Linked DNA regions of Arabidopsis thaliana. The protein of the gene in region 1 interacts with the protein of each later gene in a pairwise test. Each region holds a gene or a part of one and is shown in the gene's direction. Other genes may lie near its edges.

Evidence for each region.
Region 2: the proteins of IRX3 (region 1) and AN interact in a two-hybrid assay, tested with the Arabidopsis thaliana proteins (one large-scale study listed by BioGRID).

Annotation. Positions count from the first base shown.
Region 1 is NC_003076.8:5,736,067-5,743,592, reverse strand, and holds IRX3 (Cellulose synthase family protein), read left to right. Parts: upstream 1-2,092; 5' UTR 2,093-2,185; coding exon 2,186-2,260; intron 2,261-2,662; coding exon 2,663-2,858; intron 2,859-2,987; coding exon 2,988-3,266; intron 3,267-3,520; coding exon 3,521-3,614; intron 3,615-3,708; coding exon 3,709-3,975; intron 3,976-4,056; coding exon 4,057-4,402; intron 4,403-4,489; coding exon 4,490-4,753; intron 4,754-4,830; coding exon 4,831-5,043; intron 5,044-5,122; coding exon 5,123-5,336; intron 5,337-5,431; coding exon 5,432-5,628; intron 5,629-5,718; coding exon 5,719-6,072; intron 6,073-6,152; coding exon 6,153-6,734; 3' UTR 6,735-6,963; downstream 6,964-7,526. Other genes in the region: BBM (Integrase-type DNA-binding superfamily protein), read left to right, coding at 1-37, 168-244, 327-1,051; AT5G17410 (Spc97 / Spc98 family of spindle pole body (SBP) component), read right to left, coding at 7,178-7,301, 7,431-7,526.
Region 2 is NC_003070.9:185,262-191,207, forward strand, and holds AN (NAD(P)-binding Rossmann-fold superfamily protein), read left to right. Parts: upstream 1-1,883; 5' UTR 1,884-1,973; coding exon 1,974-2,561; intron 2,562-2,749; coding exon 2,750-2,915; intron 2,916-3,022; coding exon 3,023-3,153; intron 3,154-3,267; coding exon 3,268-4,059; intron 4,060-4,155; coding exon 4,156-4,203; intron 4,204-4,300; coding exon 4,301-4,414; intron 4,415-4,503; coding exon 4,504-4,575; 3' UTR 4,576-5,211; downstream 5,212-5,946. Other genes in the region: AT1G01500 (Erythronate-4-phosphate dehydrogenase family protein), read left to right, coding at 1-748, 1,079-1,312; ASG4 (Homeodomain-like superfamily protein), read left to right, coding at 5,335-5,567, 5,680-5,737, 5,877-5,946. UniProt on the Arabidopsis thaliana protein: Involved in controlling the equilibrium between tubular and stacked structures in the Golgi complex. Required for cortical microtubules (MTs) arrangement that confers cell shape.

The DNA of each region.
Region 1 (7,526 bases):
TCTCTCGTGGTGCATCGATTTATCGAGGAGTAACAAGGTACGTATAATCCATCTAGATATGGAACGAATACAGTGTTTCATTATTTTTTTTGATGTATACATAATAATTGTCATACAATACTATTAATCTAATCTAATTAATATTTCCTTTAAAATGGTTCCAAAAGGCATCACCAACATGGAAGGTGGCAAGCTAGGATCGGAAGAGTCGCCGGTAACAAAGACCTCTACTTGGGAACTTTCGGTACATTTTCCAATAAAATCTATATACTATAAGATATTAAATATACACAAATATATCTAAGTGAATCATACAAATTATGTAGGCACACAGGAAGAGGCTGCTGAGGCTTATGACATTGCAGCCATTAAATTCAGAGGATTAAGCGCAGTGACTAACTTCGACATGAACAGATACAATGTTAAAGCAATCCTCGAGAGCCCGAGTCTACCTATTGGTAGTTCTGCGAAACGTCTCAAGGACGTTAATAATCCGGTTCCAGCTATGATGATTAGTAATAACGTTTCAGAGAGTGCAAATAATGTTAGCGGTTGGCAAAACACTGCGTTTCAGCATCATCAGGGAATGGATTTGAGCTTATTGCAGCAACAGCAGGAGAGGTACGTTGGTTATTACAATGGAGGAAACTTGTCTACCGAGAGTACTAGGGTTTGTTTCAAACAAGAGGAGGAACAACAACACTTCTTGAGAAACTCGCCGAGTCACATGACTAATGTTGATCATCATAGCTCGACCTCTGATGATTCTGTTACCGTTTGTGGAAATGTTGTTAGTTATGGTGGTTATCAAGGATTCGCAATCCCTGTTGGAACATCGGTTAATTACGATCCCTTTACTGCTGCTGAGATTGCTTACAACGCAAGAAATCATTATTACTATGCTCAGCATCAGCAACAACAGCAGATTCAGCAGTCGCCGGGAGGAGATTTTCCGGTGGCGATTTCGAATAACCATAGCTCTAACATGTACTTTCACGGGGAAGGTGGTGGAGAAGGGGCTCCAACGTTTTCAGTTTGGAACGACACTTAGAAAAATAAGTAAAAGATCTTTTAGTTGTTTGCTTTGTATGTTGCGAACAGTTTGATTCTGTTTTTCTTTTTCCTTTTTTTGGGTAATTTTCTTATAACTTTTTTCATAGTTTCGATTATTTGGATAAAATTTTCAGATTGAGGATCATTTTATTTATTTATTAGTGTAGTCTAATTTAGTTGTATAACTATAAAATTGTTGTTTGTTTCCGAATCATAAGTTTTTTTTTTTTTTGGTTTTGTATTGATAGGTGCAAGAGACTCAAAATTCTGGTTTCGATGTTAACAGAATTCAAGTAGCTGCCCACTTGATTCGATTTGTTTTGTATTTGGAAACAACCATGGCTGGTCAAGGCCCAGCCCGTTGTGCTTCTGAACCTGCCTAGTCCCATGGACTAGATCTTTATCCGCAGACTCCAAAAGAAAAAGGATTGGCGCAGAGGAATTGTCATGGAAACAGAATGAACAAGAAAGGGTGAAGAAGATCAAAGGCATATATGATCTTTACATTCTCTTTAGCTTATGTATGCAGAAAATTCACCTAATTAAGGACAGGGAACGTAACTTGGCTTGCACTCCTCTCACCAAACCTTACCCCCTAACTAATTTTAATTCAAAATTACTAGTATTTTGGCCGATCACTTTATATAATAAGATACCAGATTTATTATATTTACGAATTATCAGCATGCATATACTGTATATAGTTTTTTTTTTGTTAAAGGGTAAAATAATAGGATCCTTTTGAATAAAATGAACATATATAATTAGTATAATGAAAACAGAAGGAAATGAGATTAGGACAGTAAGTAAAATGAGAGAGACCTGCAAAGGATAAAAAAGAGAAGCTTAAGGAAACCGCGACGATGAAAGAAAGACATGTCATCAGCTGATGGATGTGAGTGATGAGTTTGTTGCAGTTGTGTAGAAATTTTTACTAAAACAGTTGTTTTTACAAAAAAGAAATAATATAAAACGAAAGCTTAGCTTGAAGGCAATGGAGACTCTACAACAAACTATGTACCATACAGAGAGAGAAACTAAAAGCTTTTCACACATAAAAACCAAACTTATTCGTCTCTCATTGATCACCGTTTTGTTCTCTCAAGATCGCTGCTAATCTCCGGCCGTCCCTATGGAAGCTAGCGCCGGTCTTGTCGCCGGTTCTCATAACCGTAATGAACTAGTCGTCATTCACAACCATGAAGAGGTTTTTCACATTTACTTTTTCTCATCACTTACCAAAGTTTTTTTTTACCAACGCTAGTAAAATATTATTGCATTTTTTCGTTTTATTTGGTTACTATTTTTTAAAAATTCGTATGTTTTGGGAATAAAAATATGATCATTTTTTAAAATCATCTTCTTATTATGAGACAAAAATTTATAATCTGTATTCTGTAGTTGCAATAATGTTGTAGAAAATTCATATCTTTGTTAGCAAACATAATAATTTTGTTGGTAATATTAAGTTGAGAAGTCAGGTTTAACCATTTTAATCGCTGTCATTTTTTTTATTATCTTTACTTCATTAGAATCTTTTTTTGTTGATTAGAAATTTCAGGTTTTATTTCGTCTTTAAGGAACTTAAACTTTTGTGTAATTATAACAGCCAAAGCCTCTGAAGAATCTAGATGGACAATTCTGTGAGATATGTGGAGATCAGATTGGTTTAACAGTAGAAGGAGACCTCTTCGTAGCTTGCAATGAGTGTGGTTTTCCGGCGTGTAGACCTTGCTATGAGTACGAGAGAAGAGAAGGAACACAAAACTGTCCTCAGTGTAAGACTCGTTACAAGCGTCTCAGAGGTAAGTTATTTATTAATCTCCCTCTGCTCTTGTGTTGTTCGACGAAATGCCTCTATGAAAATTTAAAAAGGCTGTTCCTTTTTTTAGTTTGAACTTGGAGAGTAATGATCTGTTTTTTGGTTTCTGAAGGAAGCCCAAGAGTGGAGGGAGATGAAGACGAAGAAGATATTGATGATATTGAGTATGAATTTAATATCGAACATGAACAAGATAAGCATAAGCATTCTGCTGAGGCTATGCTTTATGGGAAAATGAGCTATGGAAGAGGTCCTGAGGATGATGAGAATGGGAGATTCCCACCTGTTATAGCTGGTGGTCATAGTGGAGAATTTCCAGTTGGAGGAGGTTATGGTAATGGAGAACATGGGCTTCATAAGCGTGTGCACCCATATCCATCATCTGAAGCTGGTGAGTCTCATGGAAATGTTAACTTACATATAGATTTAAGAATGTCTCACAGTGATGATTAGTTAGGGTCATGCATATCTCCATATGTGCAAATAACATAAGTATGAGGCCTTCCAGCTTAATAGTAGATAGGGACATAGTTTCATAAACATGGACTTTGGGTTCTATTACATTCTTTCTATGAAATTCATCAGCAGACCCTTTTTCTAACAATACTTTCCTTTTTGTTTATGTGTGTAATTTTAATGTGGTAGGGAGTGAGGGAGGATGGCGGGAAAGAATGGATGACTGGAAGCTCCAGCATGGAAATCTTGGGCCAGAACCAGATGATGATCCTGAGATGGGACTGTAATGCCTCCACAAACATTTATCTAAGACATCAGTTTTGTATGATTTGGATTCATGCTTACAAAATTTTGGATTTGACTGGAAATGGCTGTAGGATCGACGAGGCACGGCAGCCACTCTCGCGGAAAGTTCCCATTGCCTCAAGCAAGATCAATCCATATCGGATGGTCATCGTCGCTAGGCTTGTGATTCTAGCAGTTTTTCTGCGGTATAGGCTCTTGAATCCAGTGCATGATGCTCTGGGATTATGGCTGACCTCTGTGATCTGTGAAATCTGGTTCGCTGTCTCTTGGATTCTTGATCAGTTCCCCAAGTGGTTCCCTATTGAACGTGAGACCTATCTAGATCGGCTTTCCCTCAGGTAAAATCCACAGATTCTCAAGTAGAAGTCTTAAAATCTATGACGTTGGAGTTTGGATGTAAATATTTTTTGTTTATACAGGTACGAGAGAGAAGGTGAACCAAATATGCTTGCCCCTGTAGATGTCTTTGTCAGTACGGTGGACCCATTGAAGGAGCCTCCCCTCGTCACATCCAACACTGTGCTGTCAATCTTGGCCATGGACTACCCAGTTGAGAAAATCTCCTGCTATGTCTCTGACGACGGTGCTTCAATGCTTACATTCGAATCTCTCTCGGAAACTGCTGAGTTTGCAAGAAAATGGGTTCCCTTCTGTAAGAAATTCTCCATAGAGCCACGGGCACCGGAGATGTACTTCACGTTGAAAGTTGATTATCTCCAGGACAAAGTCCACCCAACATTTGTTAAGGAACGTCGAGCCATGAAGGTCAGTGTATATCACCTGATCTAGTTATACCACCACCCATCTTTTCACTATAATCTAAACTTCATAAGTGAAATTGACATATGACAGAGAGAATATGAGGAGTTCAAGGTCAGGATCAACGCTCAAGTGGCGAAGGCCTCAAAGGTTCCTCTAGAAGGTTGGATCATGCAAGATGGAACACCGTGGCCAGGGAACAACACCAAGGACCACCCCGGTATGATCCAAGTCTTCCTCGGCCACAGCGGAGGATTTGATGTCGAAGGGCATGAGCTTCCTCGGCTTGTGTACGTGTCCCGTGAGAAGCGTCCTGGTTTTCAACACCACAAGAAAGCTGGCGCCATGAATGCCCTGGTAATTTTCTTGATCTGCCTTGGACCAAACAAGAAACTGATCTCCGTGTCTTGGACCTAACCTGATACTTCTGTCAGGTTCGAGTGGCAGGCGTACTCACAAATGCTCCTTTCATGCTGAACTTGGACTGTGATCACTATGTAAACAACAGCAAGGCCGTGAGGGAAGCAATGTGTTTTTTGATGGATCCTCAGATTGGAAAGAAGGTCTGCTATGTTCAGTTCCCTCAAAGGTTTGATGGCATTGACACAAACGATCGTTACGCCAACAGAAACACAGTCTTCTTTGATGTAAGACTCAATTCATATTTTTCCAACTTCTGGTCTAAATGAAAATGTACCCTCTTGCTTACACTCTTGTTTGCTACAGATCAATATGAAAGGTCTAGATGGAATCCAAGGTCCAGTTTACGTTGGTACTGGTTGTGTTTTCAAACGACAAGCTCTGTATGGTTATGAACCACCAAAGGGTCCTAAACGTCCAAAGATGATAAGCTGTGGTTGTTGTCCTTGCTTTGGGCGCCGGAGAAAGAATAAGAAATTTTCCAAGAATGACATGAATGGTGACGTAGCAGCCCTTGGAGGTAAATTATCCCAACAACCTTATAATATCAGTCCATTCTTGCAGTAGATTTCGTTTATGTTGGAATCTTGCGGATCTGATAGTGTTTTTTGGCAGGAGCAGAAGGTGATAAGGAGCATTTGATGTCTGAAATGAACTTTGAGAAAACATTTGGGCAATCATCCATCTTTGTAACCTCAACTTTGATGGAAGAAGGTGGTGTTCCTCCGTCATCAAGTCCTGCAGTGCTCCTTAAAGAGGCAATCCATGTCATAAGCTGCGGTTATGAAGACAAGACTGAGTGGGGAACTGAGGTAATAATACTGAATCGTAGAAATCACCTTCTTATTTGTGATTTAGTAGCTGGCCATTGTAAAAAACGTTTGTGTATCTCGAAATTGCAGCTGGGTTGGATCTATGGCTCTATCACAGAGGATATTTTGACGGGATTCAAGATGCATTGCCGTGGATGGAGGTCTATTTACTGCATGCCTAAGAGGCCTGCATTCAAAGGTTCAGCTCCTATTAATCTATCAGACAGGTTAAACCAGGTTTTGCGTTGGGCACTTGGATCGGTTGAGATATTTTTCAGCCGGCACAGTCCTCTCTGGTATGGCTACAAAGGAGGCAAACTCAAGTGGCTTGAGCGTTTTGCTTATGCCAACACAACAATCTACCCCTTCACATCTATACCACTTCTTGCCTACTGTATCCTTCCAGCCATCTGTCTCCTTACTGACAAATTCATCATGCCACCGGTTAGTAAAATTATCAGAGAAAAGCACTTAGAAGCTGCATCAAATGTGCTAACTATCTGTTTTCCCAATTTTTCTTTCAGATAAGCACATTTGCTAGTCTCTTCTTCATCTCACTGTTTATGTCGATCATTGTAACGGGAATCTTGGAATTGAGATGGAGCGGAGTTAGCATTGAGGAATGGTGGAGAAACGAGCAATTCTGGGTCATTGGAGGAATCTCAGCTCATCTCTTTGCGGTTGTCCAAGGTCTCCTCAAAATCTTAGCAGGCATTGACACAAACTTCACCGTCACATCAAAGGCAACAGATGATGATGACTTTGGAGAACTTTACGCATTCAAATGGACAACACTGCTGATCCCTCCAACAACTGTCTTAATCATAAACATTGTTGGCGTTGTTGCAGGCATCTCAGATGCCATTAACAATGGATATCAGTCTTGGGGACCTCTATTTGGTAAACTCTTCTTCTCCTTTTGGGTCATTGTTCATCTCTACCCATTCCTCAAAGGTCTGATGGGTAGACAGAACAGAACACCAACCATTGTGGTGATTTGGTCAGTGTTATTGGCATCTATCTTCTCTTTGCTTTGGGTAAGAATTGATCCTTTTGTGCTCAAGACCAAAGGACCTGACACTTCCAAGTGTGGCATCAACTGCTGAAGCAAAATCTTTTTCGTCTTCTGAAACTTTTTCTGTACTTTGTCGAGAGTGTTTTCACTTCTCTCTTTGGATTGCATAATTGGATTTTGTTTATTGTATATTAGCCAGTAAAACAGATGGATCTGGGTTTATTGTGAGCGAGTAATGCATTGTAAGAAAATTTGAACAAAACTACTTTTTAGTTACACAGTAAAAGATTCACAGATACTTCCCTCAAGAGACATGTAGTTGCAGTGAAAACCCACAAATCTTGAATGCAAATTTTTAACAGAGAGCCTGAGACTTGTTCTTATATCGTGGAGTTCACAAACAAAATAAAGAAACGACAACAAAAGCCTAAACACACGCACACATCTCATAACAACTTCTCAAGCTGAATATCATTTGATAACATTAAAAAACAAATTGAATTGCCTGAGTTTGTTTAGTTAAAGTCTCACCTCTTATTCTTTCGAAACACCAAGGATCCACTGGGAGAGATGAGTCAAGTATGGCTCAGCCTGGGAGCCTTTGCTCAAGACTGGTCCTAAGCTCTGCAACTCCGAGTTGAACTCCCTTTCGAAATTGCTGGTAGAACACGTAACAGACATATTAGAACAATACCGTGATAATGAAGTTCAAAAATTCTAACAGCAACGGCTTTTGTAGAGATAGTGTAGCCATTAGTTTGAAAAACAATTCCTTGTTACTACTTACAATATGGACTCTGTAACGGTTGTGTCTCTTATCATTGTCTTCTGTGGATGAGACTGGCTATTGATGTCGATAGACGATGATATCAACCACTGTGTG
Region 2 (5,946 bases), on another chromosome or scaffold:
GATTTCGAAAGATCACCTTCATCATCTGGATCCTCTGGGTACAACCAAATCGTACCACATGAATACCTCCACCGTATCGCCGCCGTCTCCGGCATCATCAATTTCGTTGTCGCAATCGGCGTGGCTGGAGGTTCGTTTGTTCTACGTCCGTATCGCTCCTTGCGTCGTTGAGAACGTCCCTGACTTCCTCACCCTCCGTCACCCTCGTCGCGAAACCGGTGCTTCTCTTGAGGTTAACGGCGTTCGCGTTCCTTCGTCGCAGACGGCGTCGCTTAAACTCCGCCGTGACAGAGTCGACCGGGAATCGTCGGAGGTGACTTACGTGAGCACTGAGACCGTTCGCGTTACCGGATGCGTTGATTTCGAGGTTTATGATAACGAGGATATGGTCTTGTGTGGGAACCTAGATAGAATCGAAGGTGCTTGGAACAATGGAACTGTGAGTGATCCCAAGACTGGATGGGGCATGGATTGTTACATTGCTATGGGAAACGGACACGTGTCAGGTCCTTCTGCCTCTGTGTTTTTCCAGCCAAAGTTTGGAGTCTCGTCTCCGTCCGTCGAGGTTTATATAGCTGGTTGTTGTGGTGGTGTCCCGGTGATATTGACCAAGACGATTCAGGCGAGTCCGAGGAGGAAGGTGGCTAGGCACGTGACACTCGACGCTATCCCTGAGGATGAGGAAGTTGGCAAAGAGCAAGACATTGGTACCATTGGTGATGAATTGGCCCGTCAAAGCAAAGTACAGGTATGATTCTGATTTCACAATTCTCTGTTTGGTGATTGTCCAAGCCCTTAAGTTACGATTCTTAATAACTTGGGATTGAGATTTGAAAAGGTTGCTTCTTTCGTCTAGTTTTGTGAGTTATGAATGCTGTAGCAGATATTTAGTTATTAAGATCACTCGCAAGTTTCTGGTGAATTTAGCTCCTGCTTGAATGTTTTCTTTGACTCTACAGCTGAATTTGAAAATTGTAGAATTGTTGACTGATCAGAAATTGAGATATGGATATAGGTCAATAGACTCTCTTTGCACTTTTTTTGGTGCTTTATCTTGTTTGTCGTTTCGTTTATGCAGATGATGGAATCAGAAGTTGATGAATACGATGACTCAGATATGAAAATGGCACAGAGATATTACCCTGAAGGAATGTACGTTGATGAGGATGGTCAGCTCTCATGGTTCAATGCAGGAGTCAGAGTCGGAGTTGGGATAGGCCTTGGGATGTGTCTTGGTGTAGGCATTGGAGTTGGATTACTCATGCGTTCGTATCAAGCAACAACTAGTAACCTTCGTAGGAGGTTTCTCTGATCATCACCTACCATAAACTAAAAACCCACTTAGACATTTCGAGATCTACTAAGAATGTCGGTAACGTAGTGGGTTATAAAAGAGATAGAATTTTGGTAGATAGATGTATAGAGCTTTTGGTTTTCACCTGTTTGTGTCCTTTTGAATATATATATATATTCGGCTCTGTTCATATACTTTAGTAGCACAAAAGAGAGTTCCCATCTTGCTCCAGTCATGTTCTTTTGTTCTTTCTTTTCTCAAGTCTGTCTATGTCGTTGCTCTTGTGTAGAAAGAGATTTCGTGTTATTGTTGTTGTTGTCAAACGCTGGAGTTTGTCTTTCGGTTTCTGGTCAGGAAATAATGTGGAATAGGGAATGTACATGTTTCACCTGTATTCAGTATCTGTTTGCAATTAGTAAATTAAATTATTACAACAAGCCAAGTGGAAGACGGCGTCGTTTATCATAAATGTCAAACCGATGACGTCTTATCGGGGGAGCATGAGCATTGGACTAAAAAATTATTGTCAATTTGTTTAAATTGTATTTTGGGCCCTGAAAATTATTATAAATGAAATTTAGCCCCTTAATTTTGTAAGAGTTTACAACATTGAACCCTAAATCATTATGTTCCCAAAATCAAAATTTCACTCCTCGAGAGTAGCGAGAAGAAGGAGGAGATGAGCAAGATCCGTTCGTCTGCGACAATGCCACATCGCGACCAGCCGTCACCGGCGTCGCCTCACGTCGTTACACTCAACTGTATAGAGGATTGTGCGCTCGAGCAAGACTCCCTCGCCGGCGTTGCTGGTGTCGAATACGTCCCGCTCAGCCGCATCGCCGATGGTAAGATCGAGTCCGCCACCGCCGTTCTCCTCCATTCCCTCGCGTATCTTCCACGAGCAGCTCAACGCCGACTCCGTCCTCACCAGCTCATTCTCTGCCTTGGCTCTGCTGATCGCGCTGTCGATTCGACTCTCGCCGCCGACCTAGGTCTCCGACTTGTCCATGTAGATACTTCACGAGCCGAGGAAATCGCGGATACCGTCATGGCGCTCATCCTTGGACTCCTTCGACGGACGCATTTACTCTCGCGACACGCTCTATCGGCGTCTGGTTGGCTCGGATCGCTTCAGCCTCTTTGCCGGGGAATGAGACGGTGCCGTGGTATGGTTTTGGGTATCGTTGGCAGATCTGTATCGGCTCGGTATTTAGCTAGTAGAAGCTTGGCTTTCAAGATGAGTGTGCTCTACTTCGATGTCCCAGAGGTATGTTTGTTGGCAATGTCTCGCTAAGCTTTTAATATCTTAGTGTAAACTGACTCTTTAGGGACCAAAAAAAGTGCTGAGTTCTTAGCTACTACATTCCTAAACTGCTTACTATGATGGCTCTCTTTCAAGTTCCTCTCCCTTGGATGTTATATTTGTTGTCAATAGTTGCGTTTGCGTCTGTTCAGGGAGATGAAGAACGAATCAGGCCCTCGAGATTCCCACGTGCTGCTCGAAGAATGGATACATTGAATGATCTTCTAGCAGCAAGTGATGTCATTTCGCTACATTGTGCATTAACAAATGACACGGTTCAGATACTCAATGCAGAGTGTTTGCAGCATATAAAACCTGGTATGAGTTTTCTTGTCAAATGAAATTTGATTCTCCATGAATGTGAATTGAAGATGAACTTCTGCTTTCTCGCATTCCCTTCAATTCTGGTTGATTTTATGTATTAGGGGCTTTTCTTGTAAATACTGGAAGCTGCCAGCTGTTGGATGATTGTGCTGTGAAACAACTTCTAATTGATGGCACTATAGCTGGCTGCGCCCTTGACGGTGCTGAAGGTCCACAATGGATGGAAGCATGGGTATGACTTTCTTTTCCAGTGACTAAACTTCACATTTGCGCCTGCCTATTCTCTTGTTTCATCATCTTCTTCTGTTGTTTATCCTGCATCCATTATATCTTGTTTTCATTGCAGGTGAAGGAAATGCCAAATGTGTTAATTCTACCTCGCAGTGCAGATTACAGTGAGGAAGTATGGATGGAGATAAGGGAGAAGGCTATCTCTATCTTGCATTCATTTTTCTTAGATGGTGTAATTCCAAGTAACACTGTTTCTGATGAGGAAGTTGAGGAAAGTGAAGCAAGTGAAGAAGAAGAACAATCACCTAGCAAACACGAGAAATTAGCAATAGTGGAATCCACCAGTAGGCAACAGGGAGAAAGTACTCTCACCAGCACTGAGATCGTACGTAGAGAGGCTAGTGAGTTAAAAGAATCTCTGAGCCCTGGTCAGCAACACGTTTCTCAAAATACTGCCGTAAAACCTGAAGGAAGACGTAGCAGATCCGGTAAGAAAGCCAAAAAGAGACATTCACAGCAAAAATACATGCAAAAAACGGATGGTTCCTCAGGGTTAAATGAAGAAAGTACTTCACGAAGAGATGATATTGCTATGAGTGACACAGAAGAAGTATTAAGTTCCAGTTCTAGATGTGCTTCTCCTGAAGATTCCAGAAGTAGGAAAACACCTCTTGAAGTAATGCAAGAGTCTTCCCCAAATCAGCTTGTAATGTCAAGTAAGAAGTTCATTGGAAAGTCAAGTGAGCTACTGAAAGATGGATATGTAGTAGCCTTGTATGCGAAAGACCTCTCGGGCCTCCACGTTTCCAGGCAAAGAACGAAAAACGGTGGCTGGTTCCTCGATACTTTGTCCAATGTATCCAAACGAGATCCTGCTGCACAATTCATTATCGCATACAGAAACAAGGTAAACCTTTTTCTCTCTCTTACTTTTCATTTATCTTGCTTACAATGCCAGATAGACCATTATAAATTGGTTTTGGTGCATGAACTTGTTTTCCAGGACACTGTTGGTCTGAGATCATTTGCTGCTGGTGGGAAGTTACTGCAGGTAGCTCTTACATTAGAGAGTGTTACTTCCATTGGTAACTCAATGTTGCTCTTATGGAATCTAAAAGTGGTTGTGTCATGGGTGTGTGTGTGTGCAGATCAATAGAAGAATGGAGTTTGTGTTTGCTAGCCATAGTTTTGACGTGTGGGAGAGTTGGAGTCTAGAAGGTTCTCTGGACGAATGTCGGCTTGTTAACTGCAGGAATTCCTCTGTAAGTCTCTGTCCTTACAGAAAATGGCCCGAAATTGAAAAACCCTACTTCTTGGAAAACAGAAATAATTTGTGTAATGAATGTTGCAGGCGGTGTTGGACGTTCGTGTGGAGATATTGGCAATGGTAGGAGACGATGGTATCACACGTTGGATCGATTAAAAAGAAAAACAGAGTCTCTCCATTTGTGAGTTTCTCTCTTTTAATTACTTTTGTTACTTTAACATCCTTAGGATTCACAGACGAAAAACAGAGACACCCAATTTTTGTGTTTCGAGACTGTGTCGTGTGTTGTGTAGTTGGTATCAACCAACTTATATCTGTAATCATTGTTTCTTTTTATTTATTCTCGGTTTGCAGAAACATCCGATGAGCTTGTCTTAGAGGGACGTTTGTTGTTGTTTTCTGGGTCTGGTCGTGATGAACTCGAAAGCATTGTGTGTTTGGTTAGTAGTTTGAAATAGGTGTGTGTATTGTATTTGTATATGCTGCGTTTGTGTTTTAGAGATCATCGTACATAAAACACATCATCGTACATAACTAAAATTTGAGCTAAACTACAAAAGAAAGTAACCTTCATTTTTAGTCGAACCAGGCCCCAGCTAGGCAGCTATCTCGTAAATAAGATTGCTGGCTTACGATCGTATTCCACGTGGCAATTTATGTGCCGTGGATTTAAATTTGTACGTGGCATGAGTGTTAGGAGAATGTCCACATGGCTTGTAGTTGTTAGTCCCACGCTCTGAACCAGAGCAACCGGCTCCTTACACGTGTTCGGCTTAAATCCATTTTTCGAATGAGATTACACTTCTAACCTTGTCTCCCTCTCCCGCTTATACCACCACCACTCTCACACAAGTCTCTCAAGTCACAAACTCTGTTTCAAACCAAAAGGGAACTTTGTGTGTGTTGTCGAGTTTTATGGTGACTGTAAACCCTAGCCAAGCTCATTGTTTGCCTATGAAAATGAGTCTACCGGGTTTCAATACTCTTCCCCACACGGCAACAACGATACCGGTTTCCATACGGAGCAATAGGACGATGTCGTTTTTTGAGGATCCAACAAAGAAGGTTAGAAAGCCTTACACTATCACCAAATCTAGAGAGAACTGGACGGAGCAAGAACACGACAAGTTCCTTGAAGCCCTTCATCTGTATGTTGACACGGATTTCACTTCTCTGCCTTCATTTATCTGATTAATGATATATAGAATCTTTGAGATTTGTTCTTCTTCTTCTGATATGATCATGTCTATTTGATTGCAGATTTGACCGGGATTGGAAGAAAATAAAGGCCTTTGTTGGATCAAAAACAGTGATACAGGTAATCAATCAAACATATGCATTCCATACTTTTGTCTGAAGTTACATATAAGTAATTTTATGAACTCTGTTCTTTGGGGTGGAATTGGAGATATAAGTTCTATGTATGTTGGATAGTAACTAGAATATTGGTTTTGTAGATACGAAGCCACGCACAGAAGTACTTTCTCAAAGTTCAGAAGAATGGGACTAAAGAACATCTCCCACCTC